5 linked regions of the Neurospora crassa OR74A genome follow. The protein of the gene in region 1 interacts with the protein of each later gene in a pairwise test. Links are inferred from orthologs where the notes say so. Each region holds a gene or a part of one and is shown on either strand. Other genes may lie near its edges.

The links.
Region 2: the proteins of pph-3 (region 1) and NCU02036 interact in binary tests that used the Saccharomyces cerevisiae proteins (3 or more experiments, as listed by UniProt). The link is inferred for Neurospora crassa OR74A from reciprocal best matches to the Saccharomyces cerevisiae genes GLC7 and SEN1.
Region 3: the proteins of pph-3 (region 1) and NCU07885 interact in binary tests that used the Saccharomyces cerevisiae proteins (3 or more experiments, as listed by UniProt). The link is inferred for Neurospora crassa OR74A from reciprocal best matches to the Saccharomyces cerevisiae genes GLC7 and SWD2.
Region 4: the proteins of pph-3 (region 1) and NCU08385 interact in binary tests that used the Saccharomyces cerevisiae proteins (3 or more experiments, as listed by UniProt). The link is inferred for Neurospora crassa OR74A from reciprocal best matches to the Saccharomyces cerevisiae genes GLC7 and SDS22.
Region 5: the proteins of pph-3 (region 1) and NCU01670 interact in a two-hybrid assay, tested with the Saccharomyces cerevisiae proteins (2 studies listed by BioGRID). The link is inferred for Neurospora crassa OR74A from reciprocal best matches to the Saccharomyces cerevisiae genes GLC7 and YPI1.

Annotation. Positions count from the first base shown.
Region 1 is NC_026503.1:2,383,681-2,389,550, reverse strand, and holds pph-3 (serine/threonine-protein phosphatase PP1), read left to right. Parts: upstream 1-2,064; 5' UTR 2,065-3,027; intron 3,028-3,175; 5' UTR 3,176-3,333; coding exon 3,334-3,513; intron 3,514-3,616; coding exon 3,617-4,018; intron 4,019-4,098; coding exon 4,099-4,398; intron 4,399-4,460; coding exon 4,461-4,489; intron 4,490-4,578; coding exon 4,579-4,594; 3' UTR 4,595-5,772; downstream 5,773-5,870.
Region 2 is NC_026501.1:1,604,180-1,610,254, forward strand, and holds the start of NCU02036 (tRNA-splicing endonuclease), read right to left. Parts: upstream 3,518-6,075; 5' UTR 2,972-3,517; coding exon 2,589-2,971; intron 2,522-2,588; coding exon 1-2,521. Other genes in the region: NCU02035 (helix-hairpin-helix domain-containing protein), read right to left, coding at 3,928-5,447, 5,502-5,700. UniProt on the Saccharomyces cerevisiae protein: ATP-dependent 5'->3' DNA/RNA helicase required for the expression and maturation of diverse classes of non-protein-coding RNAs like precursor tRNAs, rRNAs and small nuclear (snRNA) and nucleolar (snoRNA) RNAs.
Region 3 is NC_026503.1:1,231,955-1,237,464, reverse strand, and holds NCU07885 (WD repeat containing protein 82), read right to left. Parts: upstream 3,625-5,510; 5' UTR 3,498-3,624; coding exon 3,128-3,497; intron 3,065-3,127; coding exon 2,301-3,064; 3' UTR 1,655-2,300; downstream 1-1,654. Other genes in the region: NCU07886 (hypothetical protein), read right to left, coding at 423-944, 1,056-1,127; NCU07884 (mitochondrial oxaloacetate transporter), read left to right, coding at 4,773-4,789, 4,907-5,510. UniProt on the Saccharomyces cerevisiae protein: The COMPASS (Set1C) complex specifically mono-, di- and trimethylates histone H3 to form H3K4me1/2/3, which subsequently plays a role in telomere length maintenance and transcription elongation regulation. Involved in mediating RNA polymerase II termination.
Region 4 is NC_026501.1:5,514,481-5,520,265, reverse strand, and holds NCU08385 (protein phosphatase PP1 regulatory subunit sds22), read right to left. Parts: upstream 3,693-5,785; 5' UTR 3,424-3,692; coding exon 3,165-3,423; intron 3,044-3,164; coding exon 2,162-3,043; intron 2,098-2,161; coding exon 2,081-2,097; 3' UTR 1,618-2,080; downstream 1-1,617. Other genes in the region: xr (xylose reductase), read left to right, coding at 230-1,020, 1,137-1,172; NCU08386 (hypothetical protein), read left to right, coding at 4,800-4,838, 4,900-5,236, 5,304-5,785. UniProt on the Saccharomyces cerevisiae protein: Regulator of the mitotic function of yeast type 1 protein phosphatase.
Region 5 is NC_026502.1:2,748,205-2,753,726, forward strand, and holds NCU01670 (type 1 phosphatase regulator ypi-1), read left to right. Parts: upstream 1-2,410; 5' UTR 2,411-3,082; coding exon 3,083-3,278; intron 3,279-3,394; coding exon 3,395-3,759; 3' UTR 3,760-4,145; downstream 4,146-5,522. Other genes in the region: NCU01672 (DUF726 domain-containing protein), read right to left, coding at 1-557; prm-3 (S-adenosylmethionine-dependent methyltransferase superfamily domain-containing protein), read right to left, coding at 4,219-5,522.

The sequences.
Region 1 (5,870 bases):
CAGAAGCGGACGAGGGGTGCTGTGTTTGACGATATGTACAAGGTCGTCAAATTGGAATTGTCTGGTGGGGCAGACTATGCACTTTGGATGATGAGCTGCGGTTGGAAGACTTCGGGAAGCCAGCCGTTGAAAGGCGTTCGGTTTTTAAAAGACTCGGGGCTGAACGAATGCCCAGACATAGCAAGGATCGTGAGGATCGTTGTTCTGAAGGGAGACCTGTCCGAGCAAATCAGGAGCCGTCCCATCTGACGAAACGGAGTTGTGACCCGGAAAGTCGAGGAGAACGGCAATGAGGTGAAAGTGACAAGGGAGACCTCGACACATTGCTGAAACATTTATTCTGAGGTCCCGCGGGTCCAGGTCTTAGTTCAGGCGCCGTTGGCCCCGAGATAGGTGTAAACCGAAAGTTACCAAAGATATGGGTTCAGACATAGTGGGCGCCTAGTTGTTGGTTTCGTGTGTGTGATATATTGCTATGTCTCGTCATGGCGATAGCCCAAAGCGACCAACCACCACTTCAAGGGATAAAAGGTCGGAGTTTCCATACTCTGATGTTGTTGTGATGGTCGAGTCTCTTCTCATCATATCGCAGACAAGTCCAAGATCTTAGCCGACTTGGACCTATCAGAATTTCTTTCTCCTTGGTGGTGTGGCGATGGTGGTTCAAAGAAAGTCAGTCATGTTGACACTACTCTGTCTGCATGGACAAGGTACCGGATTCTAGCAACCCGGTAATTTTGCCAAAGGGCTTCCTTTTTTGACGGAAACTGGCATTCTTGAGTTACCAGAATCTCAGGTTTTGATATGCAGCTAAGCATCACCTATGACCGCAGAGGACTACCTGGATCTCCAAGATGCCCAAGATTCTCGACAGCCTGACTGAGGCTTTGCGCATTTGCTGTCGAGCTCCCAGTCTCACTGATCTTGCGGATACACGTCGGCGGCTGAGTCGCTCGAATATTTTGCTCGTTGTTGACTGGATATCCGTTGCCTGTCGACCTGTCTTTATACTCCTTCGCTTCGAGCTGTTGTAATCATGCATACCGGGTGCTTGTGCCTGATCTAGGTGTAGGCCATGTAGCCAGGCTGCCCTGCCTATCATTGCGTTTGCGGAACCTGATGCTGATGGTGGGGGGAAACGAGCAAAGAGGACAAAGCCGGAATACCAATGCAAAGTAACAACAAGGCGACCAAGAAGGCATTCCCGTCTTTGCTATTGCCGTGTACATACCAGGTAAGGTGTCACACTCACAGTCCACTATCTCTACACAGGGAGGGGGAAGTTGGAGGGTTGGGAGAGATGGAAGTTCCAGGCGACACCCACCAACGGGATCGCAAGCGGCTTTTAGGCGAGCCAATCCCAGGCCTAGACCTGCCAAGGAGGGTCCGGTGTTCGGGACTCTTGCTAACAGAAGTGCTCGCAGTTGCGGGGGAAGGCAGCGCAGCTCCTACCCAGTCGCGTTAGTGAGCAACATGGACCGACCTATCATCATACCTGCTTCCCCAGAGGCGAGTGCATGCAATTTTTCTCGAGCCAAGTTGGAAGGGCCGCTTCACTGCAACTGGAAAGGGCACAAGGGCTCGGCCAGGATCTGACGGAGATTCAGAGCGGGCGCGAAACCTAGGTAGGTACCTACCTACCTGGCTGGCAACCTAGGTACCAACTACCTAACCTAGCTCACCCAATCTGAGCCTGTCCTTGTTTGGGTTATTTCAGCCGTAGGTAGGTATGTTTGAGTTTAAGTTGAGGGTTGTTCTGGCCTGCCATCGCGTCGGATGTTTCGAGTTTTTTTCGTTCCATGTCACTGAGTGCTGTCCTGTTCATTCCATCGATGTGGATGAGAGCCCAGTCGGCGGAAAAGATCACAACTGCACCGAAACCCGACCCGACCGGACGCCTGTTGTGGTTGTTGTAACGATAACCTGACTGGCAGGCACCGAGGTGACCTGACCTGGGCTTGAAAGAACGCGGACCTGGACCTGGACCTGCCTGCCTACCTCTACCTACTGCTCTCCACTGCTAGTAGGTAGTCTGGAAGCCCTGTGCGTTTCATTAGCTGCGTTGCGTGCGTGTAAATCTTGCTGCTCCATCGGCCCAGTAGCCCAATCCCTTCTCTGCGTCCCCGTCCAGTCCAGTCGCCAGTCTTCTCTACCTACCTACCTCTACCTAGCCCATCGCCCGGCCGGACCCCCCCCCCCCAGCAGCGGGCAGCCCAAGTGGAAGCGTCTGCGCTTGTCCGTCTCCTCCCAAAAGTCTCTAAGCAACCACCACCGACGTTGATTTTTTTCTCCCGACGCTTTCTATCCCAACCAAAACAGGGCGACGTCTTTAACCACAAAGAACGCGCATTTTCAACCCCACCCTGGCGATAGAAGTCCTATTATCATAGGCATCATCTCGCGGTATCTCGTCTTCTGGCCTCCGTCGCTCAATTAGACGCAGCTTTTTCCAGCGACCCTCCGACCGGCCCAGCGCTCTGTACTGCACCTCGCTGCAGCACTTTGCACTCTCCCGGGCAGTCCATCGACCAGTTTTTCCCGACCGTGGTTTTGGCAGTGGCAGTGACAGCCTCTCCCGCAGTCTCAGGACTACTTGAACTCCCCTTCTACACCCGACCTTTTCGAACCCAGATTTTCGACGACGACACGGCGTTTTGCCCCAGCCCCGTCCGCGCGACAAAAAAAAAAAAACACGTTACCTCACAAAGGACGATCAGAGACTTCTGGAGCCGTCTCCTTTTTCCATCATTGCTAACCCTCTTGTCGCCGCGTACTACCGGACCGATTTCTTCGCAATTCCGACGAGATTTGCTTGCGCTTGCTCTAGACCGTTCGCACCTCCGCCAAACCCAGTGACGATTTACTAAAACCAAAGCACAACATTCGGTATCCGAAAGAATACCTATTTCCAGAAAAAAAAAACACCAAAAAAATCACCGCTTGCTGTATTCCCAAGGAGAACGCGTTCGCCTCTCCAAAAAAAAAAAAACCCCCAACAATCGCTTCTTGCTGGGATCGCTTCTGAGCGTAAGTTGATCAACTGCCGTTACATTGCGGCTTCCCAGTCTCTGCCCAGCCGTCGCTCCTCCTTCATTTTCCCGCCATCGCGATCGCGTGCGGCAAACCCCAATCAGAATCTGCGTCGTCATTGGCAATGTCTAACGTCTTGAATTAGTCGTTTAGCTTTGCAGAAGTGCATCTACCCCAGTTTCCTACTCCTTACGCGTGCCGCTCTTTTAGACCCGTCCCATCCGACTAGCTGGGGTTTGTCGGTCGTTACCGTGACTTCGAAAACCTGTGCGCGGTATCTCTCCGGTTGGTGAGGATTTTGCAATGGCGGACCATACCGAAGTCGACCTCGACTCTATAATCGACCGCCTCTTGGAGGTGCGGGGCAGCCGGCCTGGTAAGCAGGTGCAGCTGCTGGAAGCCGAGATTCGCTATCTCTGCACCAAGGCCCGTGAAATCTTCATTTCCCAGCCCATCCTGCTTGAGCTCGAGGCTCCTATCAAGGTAAGCATTGTGTTCTTTCTATTATCCCTTTACATAGCCTCGGCATGCGCCATACTGCCCCTTCGGCAGTGTTCATAGCTGACGTCGTGCCCCACCTCCCTAGATTTGCGGCGATATCCACGGTCAATACTATGATCTCCTCCGCCTCTTCGAGTACGGTGGCTTCCCTCCTGAGGCCAACTACCTCTTCCTAGGTGACTACGTCGATCGTGGCAAGCAGTCCCTGGAGACCATCTGCCTGCTCCTCGCCTACAAGATCAAGTACCCCGAGAACTTCTTCATCCTTCGTGGCAACCACGAGTGCGCGTCCATCAACCGTATCTATGGTTTCTACGACGAGTGCAAGCGGAGGTACAACATCAAGCTTTGGAAGACCTTCACCGACTGCTTCAACTGCCTACCGATCGCTGCCATTATCGACGAGAAGATTTTCACTATGCACGGTGGTTTGAGCCCGGATCTGAACTCAATGGAGCAGATCCGCCGAGTCATGCGACCAACTGACGTACGTTACACCATTCATGCCCGGGCTTTCCGTTTGCTCAGGCTAGTTGCCGTAACATGAGACACTAACAATAGCGCCAGATTCCTGACTGCGGTCTTCTTTGCGATCTCCTGTGGTCGGATCCCGATAAGGACATTACTGGTTGGAGCGAAAACGATCGTGGTGTTTCCTTCACATTCGGCCCGGATGTCGTTTCTCGCTTCCTCCAAAAACACGACATGGATTTGATCTGCCGTGCTCACCAGGTTGTTGAGGACGGATATGAGTTCTTCTCGAAGCGCCAGCTCGTTACTTTGTTTAGTGCCCCCAACTACTGCGGCGAGTTCGACAACGCTGGTGCTATGATGAGCGTCGACGAAAGTTTGCTCTGCTCTTTCCAGGTATGTTTTTCTGACTTTGGCAAGCTCCGAGACCCTTGCACTCTTGCTAACCCCCTTTGCAGATTCTCAAGCCCGCAGAGAAGAAACAGAAGTACGTTCCCAGTCTCAGATGAAGCAATTCAAGACCCCCAAGAAGCACAAGTAAAGAATTTTCTTACGAACACACCCGTTTTCCTTTAGGTTCGGCCGCCGATAAACGTCTGATACTTTCGCCCGCCCGCAACGAACATGAGTATCTTACCGTCAGCTTGTCTACCGCCGCCATGTTTCCTGATCGCCAGGGCTCCCAGCCATCATCCCGTCTGCCGTCTGTTCCGACCACTTCTTTTGGGGAGGTCCTCGCCCCTCCTGCCGTGCCAACGAAACGAAAGCCACGTCTGCCCGTCCTGTCTCTCCATCCGTCCGGTCTCCACACAACTCGAGAGGGTAGGAAGGAAAGGGAATCTTTTTATATCTCGGGGGATGAATAACGAACGACCTTTTCTTTTTCTTGTCTGGTCACTACTCCTGCTAGGAAAGGTATAGATAAGCAGTGTGTGTCTTGGGGGGAAACTAGTTGTTTTGTGTCGCTTTTCGCCAAAGGCATATGTCATTCCGTCATGGGAGAGTGTATTGAAAATTTGTTCGTTTACATCCGCTCCAGCACTTTCTGACTACGGCATGCTGTGTTTCGCCACTCCGCTATTTTACATTTACGGCTCAGTTTCGAAAGGTATACACGTTGCAGCAGCATCACAACATATCTCCGCTTTAATTTACCAGCTTTTCGGCCTGGTCAAACGACACTTCCGCCTTACCTTCCTACGACTCTCACGACCTAGGCTCTTGTAGTTACCAAAATGGCCAGGGCACCATCGCAGAGGTAAAGCTACGAACATTGCAAACGGATGAGACGGAGCGCCTTGGTGATACCAGAGAAGAAGCAGATGGGATGAAAGGCGGTGGTTTTCTGCGCTCAGGCCCGATTCTGCCACGCTGGATGGATAGAAAAGCAGGAGAGAGGCGTTGGGCAGGACAGGACAAAGAGAAGAAGTACGATATGGCGTCCTAGGTTATGAACATGAAGATGGCAGAACGTCTTGGCAGGCTCGAGTTTTTCTTGTTCTTGGGGGAAAGGGAGGGGGACGGTTGCTACTGGGTGATTATGAGGCGAACACCATGCTGTATTCGAGAAAGAGGAGGCAAGCGTGCCGGCGGTAGGGAGTGCGCGGGGCATTGACCGATGGGTTGATCAATCAGGCTCATCGTGAAAACGTGAACTGGCGGTGGCATACGGTGACTGAGAGGCAAGAGTGATACTGAGATACAGGTTGTCGTCGTGTTGTGTTTGGAATTCCTGTATGTTTACCAGTGTAATTATACATTACGATCGAGCGGGATAGAGGGTGGTTCTCGAAGTCAAGTGAGTCGTCTAGCAATGCGTATATTACGTTGAAGATACGATGAGTGGGACGAACAATGAGAGGGGGTAT
Region 2 (6,075 bases), on another chromosome or scaffold:
GGCTGGAGCCTCAGCCTTCATCGTCTCCAACAGAGCATTCTTCCGCCTCTCAGTGGCCTTCTCAAAGGCAGGCGTAAGCGAGGCAATGTGGTCTTTGAGTGATGCCTTTGAGAAATCAAGCTTTGCCTGTTTCATAACCGGCTTGACCTCCTGCTTCACAGGCTTTCCACCAACGAACTGCGCTTCGATGGCAGCATCGTCCCCGAGCGCCTTGAGTAGCTCGATCCGTTGCTCGTTGGTGAGATTCGTCTTTATGGGGTAGTCCGTTCGCCCATCAGTCATCTTCCTCTTCTTCAGCATATTGTTGAGATAGGCGACTGTTTTTGGCGGAAGATCCATGCCGTTGTCTTGCAGACGCTTGATCAACTTCTTGGTGATTTCGATAATACCGGCGATAAGATATTTATCGCGGAGTTGCAACATGTCCACTAAGGGAAGCGAGTGTATTCTCGGCGGCTCCAGGACCAACTTCATGCCCTCTGAGCCGTCGTCACCGTTTGTCGCCGAGATGCTTTGAGGACTGCTAAGTGCCGAAGCCATGAGACCGTCTTGGGCGAGGAGCTTCTCTGCAAGTTCCATCACATCACGACAAAAGTCCTCCATGACTTTCTTGTCCACCTTCACGTGCCAGAGTCTCATGGATCCGAACGAGTGGCCGACGGCTCTCCATTCGCAATCCCACCATCCCTTGACGATAGCATGTTCCGCAGGGGTCAGGGTCTTGCGTCTGAGTTGACCTACAGACGGATCACTTAAGCTATTGAGCACGAATTCACAGCATTTCAACAAGTGTTGCATGTGACTCCACGGATTATTGGAGTCTTTGGCGTTGGTGATATGGTTTACGGCGCCAGTGAAGGCCTCCAGGAACTGGCTGAAGTACTCCTCAAGCATCTTATTCACGGCCTCAGATGGCGTCATCTCACCTGTGATGGCTTTGATCAACTCGAAGCCAGCTTCGCGAATGGCTTCCTCACCGTGTATTAGAGTCGCCACGATGGGCTGGATGGTGTTACTCTGCGGATCCGAGCAGAAACTGTCAAGATCAGCCGGGTTGAAGTCAGACAGGCGGCCTAACATTTTGCCAATTGCCGCCGTTTGCTGTTGAAAGCGTCTGTTGAATTTTGCATGCTCGTTCTTGAGCTGGTCTTTCCGCTTAGGGATAAACCGTTCGATACTCCTGAGAGGCATCGTAGCTCTCAACATGGCCTTGGCGAGATCTGTTTGTCCGTTCCAGACGAGCTCGAGGAATGACTCCCACAATGCGCCAGAGTCCCTGTTTACGGCATCTTGAACAGGCTTTTCCTTAACGAAAGCGTCCCACTCCATCAACGTCGCCTTCGCGTCCAATGCCAGGGCAGACTGTATGATAGCTATAGCAGCCTGTGAGAGGCCAACGTTGTACTTGTCCGCGGCCTTGAGCCTGGTCGCGTCAATGATGACTTCCTTGTACTGAATCACTCTGTTGAGTAACTGGTTGACCATAATAAGAGACGTTCCTGTATCAAAGGATGGAAGGCTGAGGTAGCCGTCCAAGCATTCTCTCAAGGTCACCAGACCAGCAAGGATGCAAGTGGCCTTCGCTTCTGGGGCTGCGCCTGCGTCGACCCGGAGAGTTTCGAACAGATGCCGAAGAAGAGTCTCGCAAACGTCTGACCGCCGCGCTGAGGGAAGGGAACGGATAAAGGCCCTGACCCATTCTGCCAACGCTGGTATTAGTTGACCGTTGTTTTCCTGGTCCTCGACCATCATGTCCGGCTCAAGAGACTGGTTTAAAAAGGGCCGAAAAGCCGGGCTCTTGAAGATTTCCTCCACAATCATACTCGGAGTGACTTGGTCATAGGCGTCCCAGAAAGCCTTTGACGAACGCTCCATTAGCGTACGAAGTGCTTTCAGTATCATGCTCAAAGCAGGGACGTTATTGGTGCCGAGGTTTTCGAGAGCAAGGAAGTAGACATTCGGTTGTACTTCCATACCGCGGAGGTTTTCCAAAATACTCTTTTCGCTCATAGCTCGCAAAATGAGGAGGAATCCGCTCCAAAAGCGACACAGCCGCGCCGGGGGCTGTATCCCCCTATGGCCGAGTATATGGGACTTGAGGCCGCTTCTGACAGCCCATTCCCACTCCTCATCGGTGAGGCTTTCCGGCAGCATCCGTTGCCATTGTGCCTCTGCAAACGCCCTGTGCACCGGATACTCTTCGAAAAGGAAGTATGTCATGGTCGGAATTGCGCCTCCCACCATCTTCAGCGGCTTCTTAGGCTGGACATGTTCGAATACGTAATTGAATATCTCTAGGTTTGCTTTGTTGGTGTTCAAGTATGCCATGCAGCAGAGCGATTCGAACAAGGCGAGACACGGCCAAAGTTCGATTCTAACGAGCTTCGTAGTCGGCATGGGACCGTCCCTCTCAAGGATGAATTTGGCTCTCTTGAGGCCGCGCGTGATGCGCTCTTCATCGAAGGCTTCGAGGTTTTTCTGTAGATTCCGCAAGAGCTCGGCGTTGTCTCGGGAAGTGTATCTGTAAATCGGATTAGCTGGGGTCACCAGGCCTACGGTGGACCAAGTAGGTTTTTGCGAATACGCACTGATCAATGGCTCTGATGAATTGCTGGCGTGTCCTATGCCATGTCCTGGCACATTGGTCACATTTTGTGAGAAAGAAGTTGACACGCTCTTTCCACTCGTTGATCCATTTACCAGCCTCTGGCATCACCAACAGAAGCGAAAGGCCGTAGGTAATTCTACGTCTCTCGAACCCGTCAGCGATTCGCTTTTGCTTTTCTGCCACCGTTGTTCCGTTCGCATCGGGGAGGTCTGGCAACGCGTAGTCCGTATCGTCATCGTCGCTGAGCAAAGGGCAAATTGGATGTGCGTCTGGAGGAAACTCTTCAAAGGCTTGATGCATCTCCATCATAGCCATCTGAACGTCCGCGGTCCCCAGCTCTGGGTATTCCATTTTGTCTGACATCTCGGCGGTCGATTCAAGAACGTGATGGCTTCTGGTGGTTGTCTAGGCTGACGGAGCTTGGAGGGCGAAGTGGGTTGCGCTTCGATGGTCGCAAGAAGCAACCTTCAGCGCAAAGCAGACGGAATGGTTTAGAGAAGCCTTTGCATCGACAAGAAGCTTTCGAGGTGAGCGACAGATATGCTAGAGGAACAACTTGTGCGGCAAAAGAATGACAAGAATAGTTGAAGCAAGATGCTCCAGGCAACCGAGGACGAGCAGTGATGCTTTGTCGGAGGGCAAAGGCCGAGATGGCGATGGATGTGCGGGTATCGCTTGCACCCACAGACAAAGGGTTGGAGGAAAATTGTATACCAATAGGACAGAAGAGAAATCCGCGCTCGTGGGGTTTTATGTTCCAGGCCAGTGAAGGAGTCTGACTCCGTTCTTCTTTCACCAAGCAATCGGTGAAGGTTCTCCTGTTGTATGTTGGAGTTGACGGTGCGGCTGTCAGACGGGAGCTTCCTCTGACATGCCAGAGCCAGCGTCCACAGTGCCTGGGAAAGGAAGAGGAATGGACGCTGTAACGAAACCTAGGTTCTGTTGTTGCGCGTCAATCCAGAAGGAACCGCGTCAGACCTAAAGTGCGTGGGGCCGCTAAAAGTTGCAGGGGGGGCAGAGGGGCGCGGCAGGCAGGTCCGATGGTCAGAAACAGGCAGCTGCTCAGCAGCTGTTGCCAGTAGCCAGATGGAGAGCTCCTACATACTTGTATATCATGGTACGGATTCGCCCAACTCCCCATCTCTTCCATGAATCACCAATCTTCGAACATTGAGGTCAAAAGGCCTAGGGAGCTTTCATCCGTCACAACAGTATCAAGAGGGTCTCAAGTTATGGCGGGCCAAAGAGTCAGACTGGAAATTATTGCTTTTGGAAAGAAACCAACTACTTCCAAATCGACTCTTTCCGGCGTTCCCTGTCTATCCATCTCCATGGTCTCCTCCCTTCCCCCGGTCCAGCAGGTGTTCCAACGGGCATTCGGGTGCCTCCCTCCACTCCTTCGTACCAGGCCTTGTCGCCTTCCGGCACTTGAAGCATTGTTGTCCATGGCGGATAAACAGCTGGTGCAAGCCATACTTGAGGTGATCCGGCACTTTCACGTCGCAGTGTCTGAAGCAGTCCTCAGCATTCGCTTTCTCCGGCACCCAACCGAGCCAGCGACAGAACCGGTGGACATGCGTGTCAACTGCAAAGCAGGGCATGCGAAGACAAAAGAGTGTAACGCAGGCAGCACTTTTGATGCCAATACCGGGATACTGGACAAGCTTGGCCATGGCCTCGTCTTTGGTGACGGTGTGCATGTGGTCTAGGTTCAACGTCTCTGAGAAGGCGACTTCTCGCTTACCGCCCGTTCCCTTGTTCTCCATTGCCATCTGCGCCATCTCCAACGCAACCATGTCGAGGATTAGCTTGATATGCTTGGCCTTCTGGTTTCCGTTCCCCGAAACCTTGATAGCCTGGGCCAGCTTTTCCTCTGGCTCGCTGGCAACCTTTTCCCAGTTGATGCTTCCGATGCCTGAGCCGTGTTCTCGTAAACCGTACTCTTGAGCTACGTTCCTGATCGCTCGGTCCGCCATGGCCATCAGTGTGTTGCCGCTAATCAGCGTCCGGAGGAGGGCGTCCAATACGCAAGGTACCTCGCCACATCCGGCCTTCTCCAAAGATGCCTTGGGTATTTCCTTGGGTTGCTCTACCTTGCCATGCATGGTTGCCAAGACGCGGTACACATCCTCGCATGCTTCAGAGGTAGGAGCCTGACGATTGGGGTAGGGTGAGAACCCTGGCGTGAACCCCATGGGATTATTTGGGCCCCTTCTCACTGGCATTCTGTAGTCAGGGCTGTCACGGTCCACGGTGGCTATTCTTGTGGCGGTGACCTTGGCTGCCTTCTTGCTGGTCTTGACAATAATATGTCCATTGCCGCTATCGAGGTTTTTGTCGGTTTCTGTATTTGGCCTCTTGGAAGACGACCTGGTACCCCGTCGATCCCGTTCAGTGTGTTCCTCGTCTTTGTCGTCGTCGTCGTCGTCGTCGTCGTCGTCGTCGTCGTCGTTGGGGGTGTTCACCTCAATAGTGTTATCCAGAGAAGTGCCCATGATGTTCTCTACAGCTTCTGTCGCAGCTGCATCTTTCGTCCGATCCTTGATGATGGCGGACTGAACCTTGGTCCGGCGTTCGGTCACACCTCGGGTATGATGTACCGAGATATCATCAGGTCTAGTCACTTGTAGGGGCCCTATACTGATCGGCGTCTTCTGCGCCTTCACATCCTCGGTCCGAATCTTTGTAGTTTCGAGCGAAGTTTGACTCTGGCGTTTGGCCACACTTCGCGTTAAATGCACCGGCGCATTGGAAGAACTGCTCAGCGAATCTGGTGTCTCTGGAATTGTACCAGGGGTTGGCAGAACGCCCATGCTAGGAGGCAAGACATCCCGACCACCTATGTACTCAACTAATTAGCAGGCTGAAATCGAGAGCAAAGAAGTGAGCGAACCTTTGAGAGGATGCGCCGGCGTGGCATGTCCCCGCTTCCGTTTCCCTCTCGTCCAGGATTCAGCCTCAACCGAAGCTACAATAGTCTCAGATACATGATCTGGAACAAGGATCGGATTCTGGAGGGGGTTCGCAACCACGATGTGTTCCTCGGTGTTTACTTTGAGCCTCTTGGCGGCTGAACGGGTTTGAATTCTCATCGCAGCGATCGACGCAAGTTGCTTTGTGAGTAGTGTTCCACTTGCTAGCTAGGAAAACGAACAATGATTGTGTGCGTATAGAGTAAGAGCGATCGCTTGAAAAGGAGCGAACAATGGGCGTGGAATGTAAACAGGGAGATACACGTTAAAGTAGCGGGCAACTCTCCCCAAGTGGCAAAAAGGAAGCTGCTGGATGAACGTGCAGGAACAATGTTTCATCGGCACTGTGACATCAAGAGTTCATCTGTAATCCGGTGTTTATTCATGACTGAATGACTGCTAACTATGACAAGGGCTTGGTAATGGGAAAGCAAAAAAAAAAGGCATTGGCTGGGTATCTTTGCAACCATGATGAGCAGTTCCCAGAAGTACTAG
Region 3 (5,510 bases), about 1.2 Mb from region 1:
ATTGGGACTCAAGATCATGGCTGATTTGATCAAGCTATCTTGTACATACAACTGGGCTGTAACTTGAATGAGAAGATGGTCGATTATTGATAAACAAAAAGAAAAGAAGCTTCCTAGGCAGTAGCTTCTACATGTATGGGCAGAGTTCGGTCTCTCCACACGACATGGCAATTGAATTATAGACATCAGCGAATTCGTATCGGCGTGAACTTGTAGTGACCATGACGCCTGACGTGACCCGTTCGCCGATGCGCAACCAAGGTAGACTTCACTTGACACAAATGTTTCCACAAAAAAATGTTAAACGCTTGCTTCATTCACTTGGTTCTACCCACCCTTTATTATCATGGCATTTTTCCTGCTCAGCCCCCCGATCCGCGCGTTCGTCCCCTTCTCACTTATACACAGCGCCCTCTCAAAATTCACCTCTTCCCCTTCTTCTTCTTCTTTCCCTGTCCACCGCCTCCTGCCGCAGGCGCAGGCGTACTCGCACCCGCAACAGGCGTAGCAGTCCCACTAACCGCCGCCGCCGCAGCACCCTCCTCCGCCGCAGCAGCAGCAGCAGCAGCCGCATCAGCCATCACCACGTCTGCCGACTCCTTGGCCTCGTCCACAGGCAGCGCAGCCATCCTCCTCCCCAATTGTCCCAGCATCTGAATCAACCGACCCACCTCGGCGGCTTTGGACGTCTTGTATTTCAGGCATACGCCCGAGTGCGGGTCAAAGGTCTTGAGGACCAGATGGCCTCGGGGTGGTTTTGCCGCCGCCGCCGCTGCCGCCGCATCCTTGGGGGGTTCTTCTCCTTCTGTTGTCTTTTTGCTGCTGCTGCTGCTGCTGCTGGTTTCTTTTTTCTCTTTGGCGCGACGAGCTTCCTTTGCCGCGAGCTTCTCGGCTTTAGAAGGGCGGATGGCGGGGCGGAGGGAGTACGAGGTTGTTACTCGGGTCTGATTGTTGGATTTGCATGTTAGCATGGGCGAGAAGTTTAGATAGATAGCTCATAGCTACTACGCTGTAATGATTGGAGGGCGGAGAGAATGAAGGGAGGAAACACATACAGTCTGAGGCCTAGCCTGCAACAGCAAAGCAGACTGGTGAAGCCAGTCCTCTGACTTTTCGTAGTATGGCATCTTATTATCGCCGAATTGTGCTCTAGACGACGACGTGTGATGGGACAGTGGTCGCGTGCCGTGCGACTGGATTGTTCCGTCGAAGTAGTGATCGCTTCGTTTGTACTCTTCGTGCACTGATTAGGATATTCGGTACCCGAATGGTTATTTTGTGATAATTGGTGTCGGCTGGCGGTTTGGGAATGTGGCGCGCAGCGGCGGTTGGTGACTTGGGATAAATGCGAAGGCGTCAAGGCGACGTGATATGTTGGAGGTAAGGATGATGTGGGTTCACCTTGTCGCTTCCCCGGGAAGTTTTGGTGCCACGGTTTCGGTGAGCTCTCTGCTTGCACGCTGAAACGGGTGTTGCATTGGTGGGGTTCACCGCGGTCCCATCCAGCTCAAATGCGGGGCATACCTCTAATGACAGGGGGCAACAGGGGATGTGTTTACTTTAAGCTCCCGTCGTCCAAGGCCTGACATATGGGATTCAGGGTGGTATTGAACTCAACCTTCATCAAGACTACCTGATGGTCAGATTCTTTATGGACAGTAAACAATATTGAGCTTCCTCTATTTGCTAATGCCTATCATCCCCTCAGTGAAAATCAACTTGATCAACCATTACATGCTGTTCATCTTGACCATTCCTTTCCATCTCCTCCTACGAGCCTGGTTAAATCAGCCTTCCAGACCACTTGCCTCGCGACCTGAACCCTTTGAAGCATGCTAACTACTCCCATACGCCGGCGAATAATGCAAAATGGGTATCTCATGTACAGTGCATCAAAATCTTCTTTTGTTCCCGGCGTCTCTCATGTTCTCTTACCACGACGCTCTTCTGCTCTGCCCTGATGTAGCAACAGGATACCATCCAAGACCTTCGTACATCGCGGCATGGGTCCTGTGCAGTTTGAGCCACAACCCCCTTCCTCGTGCGTGCGGCTTTTGGGGAACTCTCCAAGTATCCCGGCGCCACAATGGGGACAACGCCCCCACAACCACGAAGCGATCGGTGTCCAGAAATAATGAAAAGTTATTTTAGAACTCTTGATCATCGACTTCGGCCCAGATAAACGTCGCCAATTCATATTTCTCAAGCGGACGTTTGCGCTGAACCGGCAAAGCCCGGTCCCACATATTCCGTGGGGTTGACCATGGAGGTGAGGTCCAACAGTTTCCGATAGACTCCGTTTATAAATCGGAGACCGGCAGCCAAAACATAAGCTCCTTATCCGCAGTGGCAATCATGTTGAATCTTGGGTTGTACTGCACAAGGACTGGTTCCTTCTTTCCTTCCTGGGGAAGGAAATTCGGTTCCAGAACCTTGTTATTGGGAGTTTGCAATGTGTCCCAAACCAACAGGTCCTTGGCCGCGCCCGACACGACATATCGTCCATCTGGCGTAAAGCAACAGTCTCCACTGCTCTCTAGCGCACCGCTTCCACCATCAGCCTCGCCAGGGGCTGGCCGTCTGGTGCCGCCTTGGGGCTTTCGCAAGTACGCCTTCAGGTTCCCGTCAATGGCGTCAAAGAGGAAGTGTCCTCCGGTCCGTGTTCCTAGAAGAATATGCTTCCCGTCGTTGGAGAACTCGAGTTTCGTCCAGCCTCTGAAGACGGCATCCGCATCAGCTGGCCCCTTCTCTTTCAAAACGTCGATGATCTTGAACGGTTTCACGTAGTTGCGGTAATCGTAAAGGAGAATGCTGGCGCTGGCTGGTAGGGCGATGGCAAAAACGAGACCAGCAGGGTCCCAGGCCGCTAAAGTGGGATTGGTGAGATGGAATTTGGCAACCCAGTTCCTGCTGTTGAGGTCCCAGAGCCTGACTGTGGTGTCAAGACTGCATGAAAGAAAGTTATCGGAGCCGGGATGGAGAGCAATGTTGGTAACGGAGGCCTCGTGGCCTTCGAAATATCGGATAAACGTATTGTCGTGGGTTGCCAGATAGCGGATTGCGTCTGTGGCGATCCAGGTCAGCGAAGAGCAGTCATTGAAGGGAGAAAGGGCGTCCAGTGACATACCGTTTTGCTTCGTGCTCGCATAGATGATGCCCGAGCTGGAATGTGTAAACTTCGCATGCTTGACGCCGTACTTTTTGCTCAGCAAGCTCTTGTCATGCCGACCTTCCCTAACGTTATATATCTGGATGGTCTCGTCGCTTTCAGACGTCATGCAAAGCTCGCCAGGGTCGTCAAAGTCGATCGATAGAACGTATGGCTGGGGCCTACCCTCCTTCACGTCGTCTCTCTGGAAGAACTTTGTCGGCCTAAAATTCTTGATCACCTCACTGATCTTGGAGGTACTGGGCCCATTAGGCCCAAGTAACCGAGTAACGTTCAGGGAGGGTGTTCCCGCGCCGGGTTCGTCGATGTCCATCGGTGTCGATGACATTGCGGTCGATTGATCGTATTGAAACCGGCTAGAACCAGAGAAGATGGCGGGGCAAATATATTGGGTCAAATTGTATAGTATCGGATTGATGGTAGTTATTTGATGTTTGGTTCAAAACTTAGTAGCATCCGTCAACCGCGTTGGTGTTTCTGCCGGGCGGAGAGACAGAGCTTCAGTAATGCGACGTCAAGGTACATACAATGGCTTGGCAGTGGCCCAAGACCCTAACCCTTGTTTCGATCCATGGTCACTGCATGGACAACGACACCAGTTGGGTAAGTAGGTATCGATGTCAGTGACAGCTGGACAAACTCCATCAACGCTGGGATACGTTGGTGATTTGGCCGCAAACCGAGCAGTCAATTGACAACGGTGCTAGTGTATGTTCACGAAGCTAAAATGGCAATCGTTACACACTACGGTAGGATGCTCAATTGAGGTCCCAGTATGACTGTCTTCCAAGCTTTCGGTACCTTCGTCTTTTTCGAAATTGTCATCAAGCTCCGATTCGGACACTTGTTGCCGTCCATCGCGCCTAGGCCCTAACCCTCCCTCGCAGCAACGACAGCGTTCCCCGGCCCAGACATTTCCGGTTCTGATTCAGGGTCCACGTCTGGGCCGCCCGACCCGCCACGCCCCCTTGTCATACCGCAGAAACTCCACATTAATCTGTTGTCCGCGCGCCGAAACCGCAGCACTTACAACTCCTTCGCCTCGTCGCCATTGGGCACCACCCCCATCCACGGCATCGGAGGAGGATCTTGACACCAACTTCCGTGCCTGACCCAAAGCGGGAGTTGGTCCCAGTCGATCACTTCGACCCCCTTGTCTGCCCGGCGACTGACCGGCGAGGCCACCTTGAAGCTCCAATAAATTTCCCGGACAGCTCTCGGTGGTCTTCTCTTTCCTTCCTGTTCCTGGAGAAAGAAGCAGTCGTCGTCGTTCGTTGTGACTTCGTTCAGTTGTACACCTGTACATACACCGATCTGATCTTTCCCCAGATCATCCCCTCATTGCCGTCGTTACTCTCCGTGATACGGTGACATCCACTCCCGCCTTCCCCGGCCTACTCCCGAATTAGTTCCCGTGTTCCCCCCTCTCTCTCTCCGAACACCGGCAAGACTCGGCATTGCGCCTTTCTTTGACTTTGCGCGCCAACTCCGTCGCAATCAACCCAAAGACTCTGGGGACTCGACTTGAGTTCTCCCTGATATTTTCCCCTCCCTCACCCTTCTTCCCCATACATTCTCCCAAAACAGATACCCTAACGTCACTATGTCAACAACAGCAGGGTAAGCTCTCCCTTTCCCCTCCTCACAATGCGCCCAGTGCGCGCGCGCAACCCAACCCAACCCAAACCCCCCCCTCCCGGTCCCAAGCCCAGACTAACATCCCTCCCTCCCTCACAGCGCCTTTATAGCCGGCGGCATCGCAGCCTGCGGCGCCGTAACCGCCACGCACCCCTTCGAGACCGTCAAGATCCGCATGCAGCTCCAAGGCGAGCTCCAATCCTCTACCTCCTCCCCTCACTTCTACCGGGGTCCGATCCACGGTGTCTCCGTGATCGTGCGCAACGAAGGACTGGGCGGCATCTACCGCGGTATCGGGTGCGCGTACATTTACCAGATCCTCCTGAACGGATGCCGCCTGGGGTTCTACGAGCCGATGCGACACGCGCTTGCGACCACGCTCTTTAACGACGCAAAGACGCAAAACCTGGGCATCAACATGTTTGCCGGCGCGGCGAGTGGCATCATGGGCGCCATGGCGGGGTCGCCCTTCTTTTTGGCCAAGACGAGGTTGCAGAGCTACAGCCCCTTTTTGCCGGTCGGCACGCAGCATCAGTACAAGAACGCCTGGGACGGGTTGACGAAAATCTACAAGGGGGAGGGTGTGAAGGGGTTGTACAGAGGTGTTGGGGCGGCCATGATCAGGACGGGCTTTGGATCTTCGGTGCAGCTCCCCACGTACTTCTTTGCGAAGAGGCGGTTGGTAAAACACTTGGGCATGGAG
Region 4 (5,785 bases), on another chromosome or scaffold:
GTGTCCATTCTTATTTTAAGGACACGAGGAGCAGCGATACCATCGCAGGCATGGACACTTATTTACACCACTACCCCACATCGACCCCCGTCACTTCAGCTCACCCTGCTTGCAGGAGGATGAGACATTATCCGTCGAATTCACCCCAAAGCCATAGTACCGCCATCAAAGACACAGTAGGCACGATGGCATGGTTCTTGTTGACTGACTCGAAATGTGTTGGTTACAGACTACGGCAACGAGGTTGAGTGCGGCCAGGGTGTAGCCCGCGCCATCAAGGAGGGCATCGTCAAGCGCGAGGAGCTCTTCATCGTCTCCAAGCTCTGGAACACCTTCCACGACGGCGACCGCGTCGAGCCCATCGTCCGCAAGCAGCTTGCCGACTGGGGTCTCGAGTACTTCGATCTCTACCTGATCCACTTCCCCGTCGCCCTCGAGTACGTCGACCCCTCGGTCCGCTACCCTCCCGGCTGGCACTTTGATGGCAAGAGCGAGATCCGCCCCTCAAAGGCCACCATCCAAGAGACCTGGACGGCCATGGAGTCGCTCGTCGAGAAGGGTCTCTCCAAGAGCATTGGCGTCTCCAACTTCCAGGCCCAGCTCCTGTACGACCTCCTGCGCTACGCCAAGGTCCGCCCCGCCACTCTCCAGATCGAGCACCACCCCTACCTCGTCCAGCAGAACCTCCTCAACCTTGCCAAGGCTGAGGGCATCGCCGTGACCGCCTACTCCTCCTTCGGCCCTGCTTCTTTCCGCGAGTTCAACATGGAGCACGCCCAGAAGCTCCAGCCTCTCCTCGAGGACCCCACCATCAAGGCTATTGGTGACAAGTACAACAAGGATCCTGCCCAGGTCCTCCTCCGTTGGGCCACCCAGCGCGGCCTGGCCATCATCCCCAAGTCTAGCCGCGAGGCCACCATGAAGTCCAACCTCAACTCTCTTGATTTCGATCTCTCCGAGGAGGACATCAAGACCATCTCTGGTTTCGACCGCGGCATCCGCTTCAACCAGCCCACCAACGTAAGTTTGATACTTCCTTTTGCCATTCTCTCATCGGCACCCCAAACTTGGCGTCAGAATATATATATATATATGTCATGGTATAAAAGGTATAGACTAACATGGCAAACTCACAGTACTTCTCCGCTGAGAACCTCTGGATTTTCGGTTAGGTCAACCTTTTTCCGCAGCTTAGGGGAAAAGTTGGCTTTCGCGCCCCCCATTCCAAAACCTTTTGATTTTACCCCTTGAATGTGTATTATACCCACAACGCATTTTGTATACGCGGGCGCGTGATTGGTATGGTCGCCTAGATCGCTACGACCTCTCACGGCCCGCACACACAATGCACACCACACGCTCATGGAAACATCAACATAACCATACCCCGACCATCAGAGACACCGCGAAGAGAGAAGGCTGGTCACCGTACCCTAACGACGGGATGTGTACATATAATGGGGCATACTGTCGTTATCTGCTGAGGCCCGGGGAAGGGCTGTTGGCAGATCAACTCTCCCGGCTCTAGGCCATTTCCTGTTTGCTTGATAACCTGTCAGCTATGAAATAGATGGGGTAGAATGCGATAGAAATCAAGATTTGACAAATCTTTCTGTTTCGAAATTCTTTTTCGTCGATCCCTGCTCGTGACATGAGCTGACTCTGTATTGTTTGTGGTGATTGTCGAAGTCGTCTATATGAATCTGATCATCATCGTACAAAAGCAGTCAATACTAGCCACTAGCCACTCCATGTATCAACCTCGACACAAAGGCGCACGCGACCGTCCTTTCTTGGATGGCCCGGTGGTTTGGACTAAGTTGTTCGTTGGTCCTTTTGTCGGTGAAGTCGGATGAAAATAGTATGGATGCAATTATGAGGGTGAGAATGCAAAGCAAAGGGCAACGGGTCTAGACGAGAGTAGTAACGAAGTCTACTGGGAATACATCAAGTTGTCGATTGTCTTGCTTCAACAACCCATCTAACGCCGTAGTACCATGAACGCCAGTGCCATGCTGCATGAACTTTGACTACACAATCATTATGCTTTGCAAACCGCCAAAATCGCCATTCATATACATCATACGCGGACGAAAGCTGCGTGATTTGGGAATTAGCAAATCTTCTGGAGTTTCCATAAGTAATGCCTGTTGAAACTTACTAGCATCAATCTGCTGCACCTGCGGCAGCGCCAACCGGACCTTGTTCCTATACAATGCCGGCGCTCTGAGCTGTAACGGGTTCCCCTCAAAATACACCGTCGTCAGGTTCTTCTTGTCCTTCAGTTCTCGCTCCACCTCGGCGAAGTCGCCGACCATGTTATAGCTCGCCCACAACTCCTCCAACTCCTCGAGGGGACCGATGCCCTTCAGGCTGGCGATCTTGTTGTTGGAAATGTCCAACACCCGCAGCTTGGTGTTGTTCTCCAACCCTTCGAGCGATTCGAGCGCGTTGTGCGAAATGTACAGTTCCTCAAGCTGGGGTACCTCGCGCAAGGGGGACAGGTCGCGAATCCGATTGGACTGGATGCTGAGCAGACGCAGCTTAGGAAGGCCGCCAAGGCCGGTGAGTTCGGTGATCTTGTTCTTGGCCACCCATAGCTCTTCGAGGTTCTTGAGCGAGTCGAGGTTCTGCAATTCGCGAATGCGATTCGACCCAAGCTCGAGGTTGCGCAGCTTGTCGAGTCCTTCTAACCCTTCGATGCGGCTGATTTTGTTGGAAACAAAGAAGAGATCTGTCAGGTTGGTCAGGTGATTGATGTGCTTGATGTGCTTTATCTTGTTGAAGCTTAGATCCAGACTGGTCAGATTCGTGAGGTCAGTCAGCCCGCGGCCGATGTGCGAAATCAGGTTGTCATAAAGATCAAGATCTTGGAGGGTCTCGGCGACAGCGGCGAGGCCTTCGATATCTTGGATCAGGTTTTGGCGAAGGCAAATGCGGGCAACTTGTTTGAAGCGCTCAAGACGCAATGCTGAGATGGACTGAATGCGGGAGTGGGTGCAAATGATCTCATCGGTATCGAGGGGCTCGTTGTCGAGGAGATCTGTAAACCAAACGAGCCGGACATGGTTAGCCAGAGGTTCGTTACCACCGAGTCATTTTCACTATCGTTTAGACATGTAAAAGGCCTAGTGTCCGTGTTTGAGCGCACTCGAATTGCTTGCCTTCATCCGCTGCAACCTCCTCGCCAGGAACAACGTTGTCATCGTCCGAGTATTCCGGATCCGACAAGGCTTCGGGATTTGTGAGCACAGCACTCTTTGGTACCCGCAGCTTCCCGTCCCAGCCTTTGCTATCTCTGAGAGCGGGGCTTCCTGCTTCGCCCTCGTGTCGTGGTGAAGGATGGTCGTCGACCAGCTCAATATGGTGGCCGGGCGACTGGCGACCCGGTGTGTTGCTGCCTTCTTCAATGGGAGCCGGCATGGTTGTGGTAGTATTTGGGCGGGTAGGTAGTTGGTGCCTGCTCTCGAGCGTTGCGCAAAGTCGCGGAATGGTCGTGGTCGTGCTGAAAAGCGTCCAAAGGTAAAAAAAAAAAAAAGAAACAGGAAAAAGAAAAAGAAAAAAGAGTACCGACGAGCACAGGGATCGATACTATCGCAATACTCAAGGCAGTGTTGATCAGTTAATGGCGCAGTCGGAAGCGGTGGCGCGCTGGTAATCAGTGGTTGGTAGTATTTATTGGACAAATACAGTGACTTATCATTTATGTGATGAGAAGGAGAATCTCCCGACTTTTTTTTTTTATCACTTCCTGATTATCAAACGAATGGAAGTCGCATCTACAGAAAATGAGGGGTCGCTTAGGTTGGTTCTCCAGTCTTCAGTTGGAATATCGTCATGGTCATGGACCAATTCCAACCACCCGCTGGGATGTCCCGTCATGCGCTAGTCCCCTTGGTTGGTCCCCTGAGGCGGACAAATGCGGGGATCACATCAGTGGGTGCACCGTGCAACGCCAGGGCCTGCCTTGTTGGGGGGCAGACTGGAAAGGGTTGGTCGTACAGGGGTCCTGTTAGACTCTTAACGGAAAGGGCATCAGGGCATCCCGAGGCCGTCTACCAACACCCGCATCACCATCGATCAAGACCCGACCGACCTCAACCGACGTTTACCATCCTCGATATCGACGGCGCTCACTGTCATTGCCGCTTCGATTTCATGTCTATGGATCATATCGGTCAATCTTCAAAAGAGATTCTCCAATACTGAGCCCGATCATCTCGAAGAGTGAAGGCTTCAAAAAGCCTCGGAAGGCCTGGAACCGCTCTTTCGAACAAATTACATTCTTTGCTGCCTCACCGGTTCATACAGTACATTATCGAGGCATTTTGGGTGAATCACAGAGCGCCAACCTCGGATTGTCTGGAACTTGTTCCACTGGAACTCCTGTCGACTCGAGTGCGCCACCCAACCTGGCCAGCAATCTCCGATTCGAAAGGAAGTTGTGGAGGTGTATGTGCAGAACACCTTGCAGGAGACTGAAGAGTAATCAACAAGTGGCAGCTGAACACGAGATTATGCAATGGAAACGAGCTGCGGAAAATCCTGCAGTTTGCTCGGGTGAGACAAGTGCCATTGTCTCATAAGTTTCCCCCAATGGTTTCTCGCTGTCTCGTGTCCGCCTCAAGGGCCCGGTTGGAACAACTTCGTGCAATCTCTTCACTTTCGAGCTGTCGTCACGGTAGTACCTACATCAGAGGTTCACGATATGGGGTCACTGCCGCGAGGTCTCTGATCGTTCCCCTGACATTCAAGCCGAGCACATTTTCCGTCGTTAGTGGCAGCGGCCGCACTGCGAAATGCATTCACATCCCGGCGGTGCTGATGCCGCCAGTCGTGTTCGTGGGGCTTCTGGTTGCTTTATACGTGTGGAAGTGCATGATGCTAGTTGTGTTCCAGAACAAGATCATATATATGCCTGGATTCCCTCCCAACTCACGATGGGAGCTCATCGACAACTACGCTAACCACTGCGGTGGAATTAAGTGGACGAATGAAAGGATTCAAGCGGCGGACGGGACAGACCTGGCAATGGCCGTTACAACCGTCCCGATGCAAAAGGGAAAGTTCCCTACAGATAAGAAGGATGCGAGGGCCCATGTATATGTTCTCTACTTTCAAGGTTTGGTTCCTCATATCAACGTGTCGTTCCGGGACTCGCAGCTGATATGGGCACCTAGGAAACGCCGCTTCGATACCGCCACGATTGCCGGATCTGTCATGGGTGCTTCGAAACGTCAGTAACAGCCACAACCCGGACCTGGCACCTCTACAGATGACTTTTGTTTGCCTAAGTTACAGAGGTTATTGGACATCCCGGGGCCGGCCCTCGGAAGCTGGTCTCAGGCGAGATGCTGAAGCCGGTGCACGCTGGATTTCCGAATACCATAAACAACTGTACGGACCAGACAGGGATGCTCCTCTACCCATTCTTCTGCTCTGGGGACAAAGCATCGGTTGCGGTGTGGCCACCAACCTTGCTGCGACAGGCAAGATTCCACAGAATTTGTCAGTCCGAGGCTTGCTCCTCGAGACCCCGTTCTTGTCGGTCAGGACCATGTTGGAGACGCTCTACCCTCAAAAGTGGCTTCCATACAAACACCTTTGGCCGTTCTTACGCAATCATTTGGATAGTTGGACAAACATGGAAACCATTGCCCAGGCCGCGAGGGAAAAGGGAAGTCCGCCGCCAAGTATGTACATCCTTGAGGCCGAAAGAGACGAGTTAGTTCCCCCAGAACATGCCGAGCGTCTGCTCGAAAAATGCCAGGACCTAGGCTTGCCG
Region 5 (5,522 bases), on another chromosome or scaffold:
TTAGCTGGCTGCAGTGCAGCACCCGAGCTGTTTTTGGTGTCTCGAGCCATGTTTCCATTTTCCTTTTGGCTCCTTGAGGTCTTACCCTTAGTGCGCTTCTTGGGGTTCAGGAGCTGCGTCTCCGCAGGGAGAGGCTTGGTGATGCTGAAATCACGCAAGTGAGCGGGAAGTCCGCTCCAGAACTTGTTACGAACCGAGGGAGCGTCATCGACCAGACCGGCTGAGTCGTAAACATGGGAAAAGTGCTTCTGCATAACATCGGTGGTTCTGGTAATGAGTGAAGTTAAGTCGTTCTTTTCCTGGGGTGACAATAGAGTGCTGAAGTCAGCCTCCCGCTTCGGGGGATTATGTCTTGGTCTGCCGCCGGGAGGCATATCGGCGATGGTACTGTCGTCAGAAGCTGTGTGGGAGAGGGTCGGTGAAGTTGGCGATGCTGCTTCGGCAGCGTCCTTGGGAGAAGGCAAGCTGGGAGGAATTGGGTTACAAGTCTTGAGGCCCAGGGCCTTTGAAGAGCGCACCGTGACCGCTGGCGCGGGAGCGTTCTTGAGTGCCGCCATGATCAATTAGGAAGGCGACAAGGCGCAATGATTGATTGCTCTTTCTGTTGTTGATTCTGGCACCTCAGTCCCCGCCCTACCTTGGGGTGGATAGGTCACAGTAGAGGTGATTGCCCTGACCAATTGGTACAGCGCAGTAAACCGGAGTGTACTAGTTGCGGTGGTGTGGCGAAGAGACGGACCGTATGAGTGTATTGTCTCCGTCAGAAGGGAATGGAGACTGCAGTGCGCAACCAGAATTGCAACTGGAAGGTGTGGGCAATGGGTGATTGCCAGCTGAGGGTGGAGTGAGTCCAGTCGCCTTGTGGTCTGGCAGATCTTTGTGACAGGTGACTTCCCAGCCTGTTGAGTTCGCTCTCAGATTATGCTTCCCCGCTAGGAAAGATAGAGGGAAAGAGCGATGGTCATTCTGTCTCGAATTGTTTGCTGTCTTGGGGGGGGGGGGGGGGGGGCAGGCAGTTGTACTGCGGTACCACGATGATGTTCGCTTAGGCTAACCTTGACGTTACAGGAGCCAGCCAGACTGTCACGAGGCCACGAAAGAGTGTCGTTCCTGCGGGTTTTTAGGCTGGATGACCAGGCACGGGTATGTCGAATATTATGATCAGAGAATGCGGTCGCGCCAGGCGGTGTGGAGGGGAAACAGACAGAGGAAGGAAGAAAGGCCGAGAGGTCGGGCGTTGTTGTAGATAAAGTAAGATGGATTCTATGGGAAAGGGTCCTGGTCCCAAGCCGGGGGCGGGGATGCAAGGTGGGTGGGTGCAGAAGGGACCTGGGATATACAGAGATTCGTTGGTCGGGAAGGCCGCTGGGGATCGTAAAGGTCCATGGACGGAAAGAAAGAGCAGGAAAGGGCAGAGAAAGGCAGTCCACGCAGTGAAGGGCAGCTCAGTTAAGGGCAGGCAAAAGCAGGATCCCGGTGGAAGCTGGGAGTGTTCTACGCGTGGGCCGACTGCCGGAAGCTTTGCCAACAGCAAAAGGACGGCAATGAGGACCAGTGGTGTTTGGCAAGCATCGAAACTCCCGTTGTGTGACGCGGGAGAGGCGGGGTGTTTGGTGGTGGTCTAGTTCTGAGGCAGCACAACGTCCAAAGAGGTTCACAACCTAAGCTCAAGGATCACGGACATAAGATCATTCCATTGTGCTGCCATACCAGCTGCTGAACACGAACATCCAAGTGGCATTCAAGGTGAGAAGGGTTCGCAAGCTTGACTATAGGCTGCAGTGGGCTGGACCGGCACCGCTCTCTATTGTTGAGTTGCTATGGCACGCAAGCCTAGCCGCGTGAATGAGAAAACGCACCGCGGAGCTGAGGACTAACTGAGCAAGCCTTGATGGATATAAAAAGGACACTAAAGAATATGTGCTACCCTTTGGTACGGCCTCAGTCGTCAGTCAACATCCAAACCTCCCATCCTCAGCCTTTGACATGTAAGTGGAAGCGGACGCAATTGCCCGAAGACCAACGAAAAACTTCAAAGGCCCATCACGCACATGTAGTTAAAGCATATGCCATGGACATATGGACACCCAACAAACTATTTTGTTTGTTTGCAGCGGTCCCTTCCCGATCATACAATGAGGCTCAAATCAGGGGTGTTGTTGGAACTTTGGTTCAGGGTTGAAGCAACTTGAATGATCTGCCTTCAGGGTTGTGAGGGAGAACAGTGCGGACGCTTGCGCTCGACCTATCAGGGGACCCTTGTCAATTCGACTTCCTTCCCGCAGGCGATCTTCGCCCCACCTTTTGATTGGGTGCCCTGCATTGACTCTTGGGCTTTTATTTTGGCAGAGGAATGTGGAAGGTGGAATGACGAAGGGAAGCGGGGACGTGGGGGAAACGGGAAGAGTACTGCGTACATAGCGCCAAAACCGAAAACCTTCAGCGGCTGCGATTCTTCCGTCATCAAAGGTTGCTCTAACGGCCATCGACCCACACTACACCGAGGCGTGTTAAGTAACGTGTCCCACACTGAATGCACCACACCTACCTCTAGGTATACTACGTACTACACCCAACACACCTTCAAGTTCGTTCGTCTTCGGCCTACGGTATTCAAGTCTAGAAGGTACTGCAACCTGCCGACCAATACCCATTGCGCGACGGGTCAAGGGAGACAGACAGGCCGAGAGCTAGCTTTCAGATCGAGATAACAGAACAGCCTGGAACCCCGCGACAAGAGTCGCATGAAAATTCCAGTTCCTGCCAGGCACGCTCCTCGTCAGCAGCGGCGATCACACAAACTTCCCCAGACTCCGTCAGACCGCAATTTTTGTCGCATGACCGGACGGCCTTCAAACGACGATCACCTAACTCTTTTCTCGAACAGACCACACCACCCTTGAAACCGCGCCTTTGTAGAGAAGAAAAGAAAAAAAAAGAAGAAGAAGAAAAGAAGCGCTCCCAAAACCTCATCTTCTCCCGGACCCGACTACCTCTACGACTACCTACCGCATACATACAACCACCCGTTCAAACACATACGTCCCAAAAACACAACAGCAAACTTTGATACAATCACACAATGACCTCCGTCGCCCAACGGCAAGCGCAGCCTGCGCAACCGTCCACCAGCCAAACCGCTGCCCCAACCCGAACCCAAACCGAGACCTCTTCTCCGGCCATCTTGCGACTTCGCGGCGCACACTCGAACGGGCGATCTGTACAATGGCGTAGCGATGTCGTTGACAACGAAGGTCTCGGCAGGAAGAAGTCCAAAGGTTAGTTGATTTGGGTTCTCCATCTGCCCCCCCACTCTTCAATTACCTTGCGCGCATACATACACACTCTGACAAATACATATGCTAACACCACCGGCGTGCCATGAACAAAACAGTCTGCTGCATCTACCACCGACCAAAAGGCGTAGACGAGTCCAGTGACGATTCTTCTTCTTCCTCCGACTCTTCATCCTCCTCCGATTCCGACTCGGACCCAGAACCTGACCAAGATAAACGAATCACATCCGGCGGTGGTAGTAGTGGCAGGGGCCACCGGCATTCCCATGATCATGACCATGATGGCCGGGAGGGTGGTTGTAACCACGACCATGGACGTGGGAGGAAACACGGCAATAAAGGAAAGAAGACGGAAAGGAGGCCGAGCCCAAATGCGTATGAGAAAATGCCCAAGTATAAGCCGAAGGATGGAGGGGCTGGGCCTTCGAATTCAGAGACGCAAGGTCCTGGGGGAAGTAAATGATGCAGGGAACAACACGAACGTATGTTCGAAAGTCGAATTTCTTTTTGGGGGCAATTGTTAGATACCATGGGAAGAAAAAATATGAGCACGAAGGCTGGGTTTGTCTTGGTTTTGGCTTTCTGAAGCCATAATGAGCACGTGTATGGGCTGCTTCTCGTTAGATATCATTCTTCGCTAAGTGTCCTTGTTATTGGACTTCACGAGTCAAATAACGATCGATATACACATGTATCTCACTATAGCGGCCTCAGATATTCGAGACATCCAGCAACGCAGAATTGTGCTACTGCATTCTAACAGATTTGCCTATAGACACCATAAGTGACTCTATCTTATGTAACGGCTATACAGAGCTTCCCAATGTTTAAGATCGTACAAGAAATCTAACCCATCCATGTAAAGACAACCCTTCCAGACCTTTTTAGCTCACAGCGCCAGACGCCACTCAACGTTATCCCACTAGTGCAACAGCCAAGTCTGAGTCTGCTCCTTCTCACCCTCGGCAGCCCAAGTAACCCTCAAGTTCAATCCGCGCTCGTGATTCTCGGCGGTGATATACTCAATCTCGCCTGCAATCTTCTTGCCAGGAGCCGGCTTCGTCTCCTTGACCTTGTTCTTGTCCAACAGCATCAGGCCCTGTCGCCAATGGGTAGGCTCACCAAACGGTCCGGTAGTAAACGCCACCCGGGCGTCCTTATCGCCGCCCTTGCCGGCCGTCTCAGCCACCCACTCCTGCGCCTTGGTGTCCAGCTTGATGGACTCGTCGACGCGGTTGCGCGCAAAGAAAACGTCCCACCAGACGAGGAAGCCGTCGTGGCTCTCGGCCTTGTCGTCGAAGGCGCTCTGCCACTTAGCCGTGAACACGAGGTCCTCGACCTTGACGGTGTGGAAATCCAACAACCCGAACGAGGCCGGGGTGCCGCACACGGTCTCGGCGGGACGAACCTCCATCCGGCAATCCTCGTAGATGCCCTTCTGCATCACCTTCATGTCGAAGCCGTACACGTCGCGCCAGAAGTCAACGTACTCGGCAATGTACTCCTGTTCCGACACGGGCGCGATCCACATGTTGCCGTGGCTGGGGACGAGCAGACCTTGGGGAGCCAGGTACTTGTCGCGCGCCCACAAAACGCTGTTGAGCATGGCCTCGTACAGCAAGCAGTAGCCCATCCACTCGGACACAATGATGTCGACCTTCTCGACGGGGAGGATCACCTCCTCGATGCGGCCCTTGAGGGTAACAATCACGTCCGAAAGCCCGTTGGCGTAAATGTTCTCGCGCGCCTTGTCGATGATTTCCGAGCGGTCGACGGCGATAACCTGCTTCGCACCCGCCTTGGCGCAGAACATGGACAGGATACCCGTGCCGCAGCCAATGTCGAGGACGACCTTGCCGGCGAAGAGGTCCTTGTTCTGGTAGATGAAGTCGCGGTAGGCTTCGGTGCGGACCGTGTCCTTGAGCATGGTCTCGTGGATGTCGTTGTGCGCGTATGACTCGAAGTAGTAGTCGGAAGCACCCTCCTTGGCGGCAGGACCCTCGGGGGCCGGACCTGAAGGCGCAGCAGCAGCAGCAGCGGCGGCGGCCTTGCCCTTGGCAGCATCCTTGTCGTCGTCATCAGCCTGCCAGCGCTGATCGAGGGTCTGCTGGACGGCAAGGCGGTAATTGGAGAACTGCTTGGACAGCTGCTCGAGCTGAGCCTGGAGCTCGGCGTTCTTTTGGATCAACTCATCCACAGCAGGCGCATCCGCGCCCTTCTGGGTGC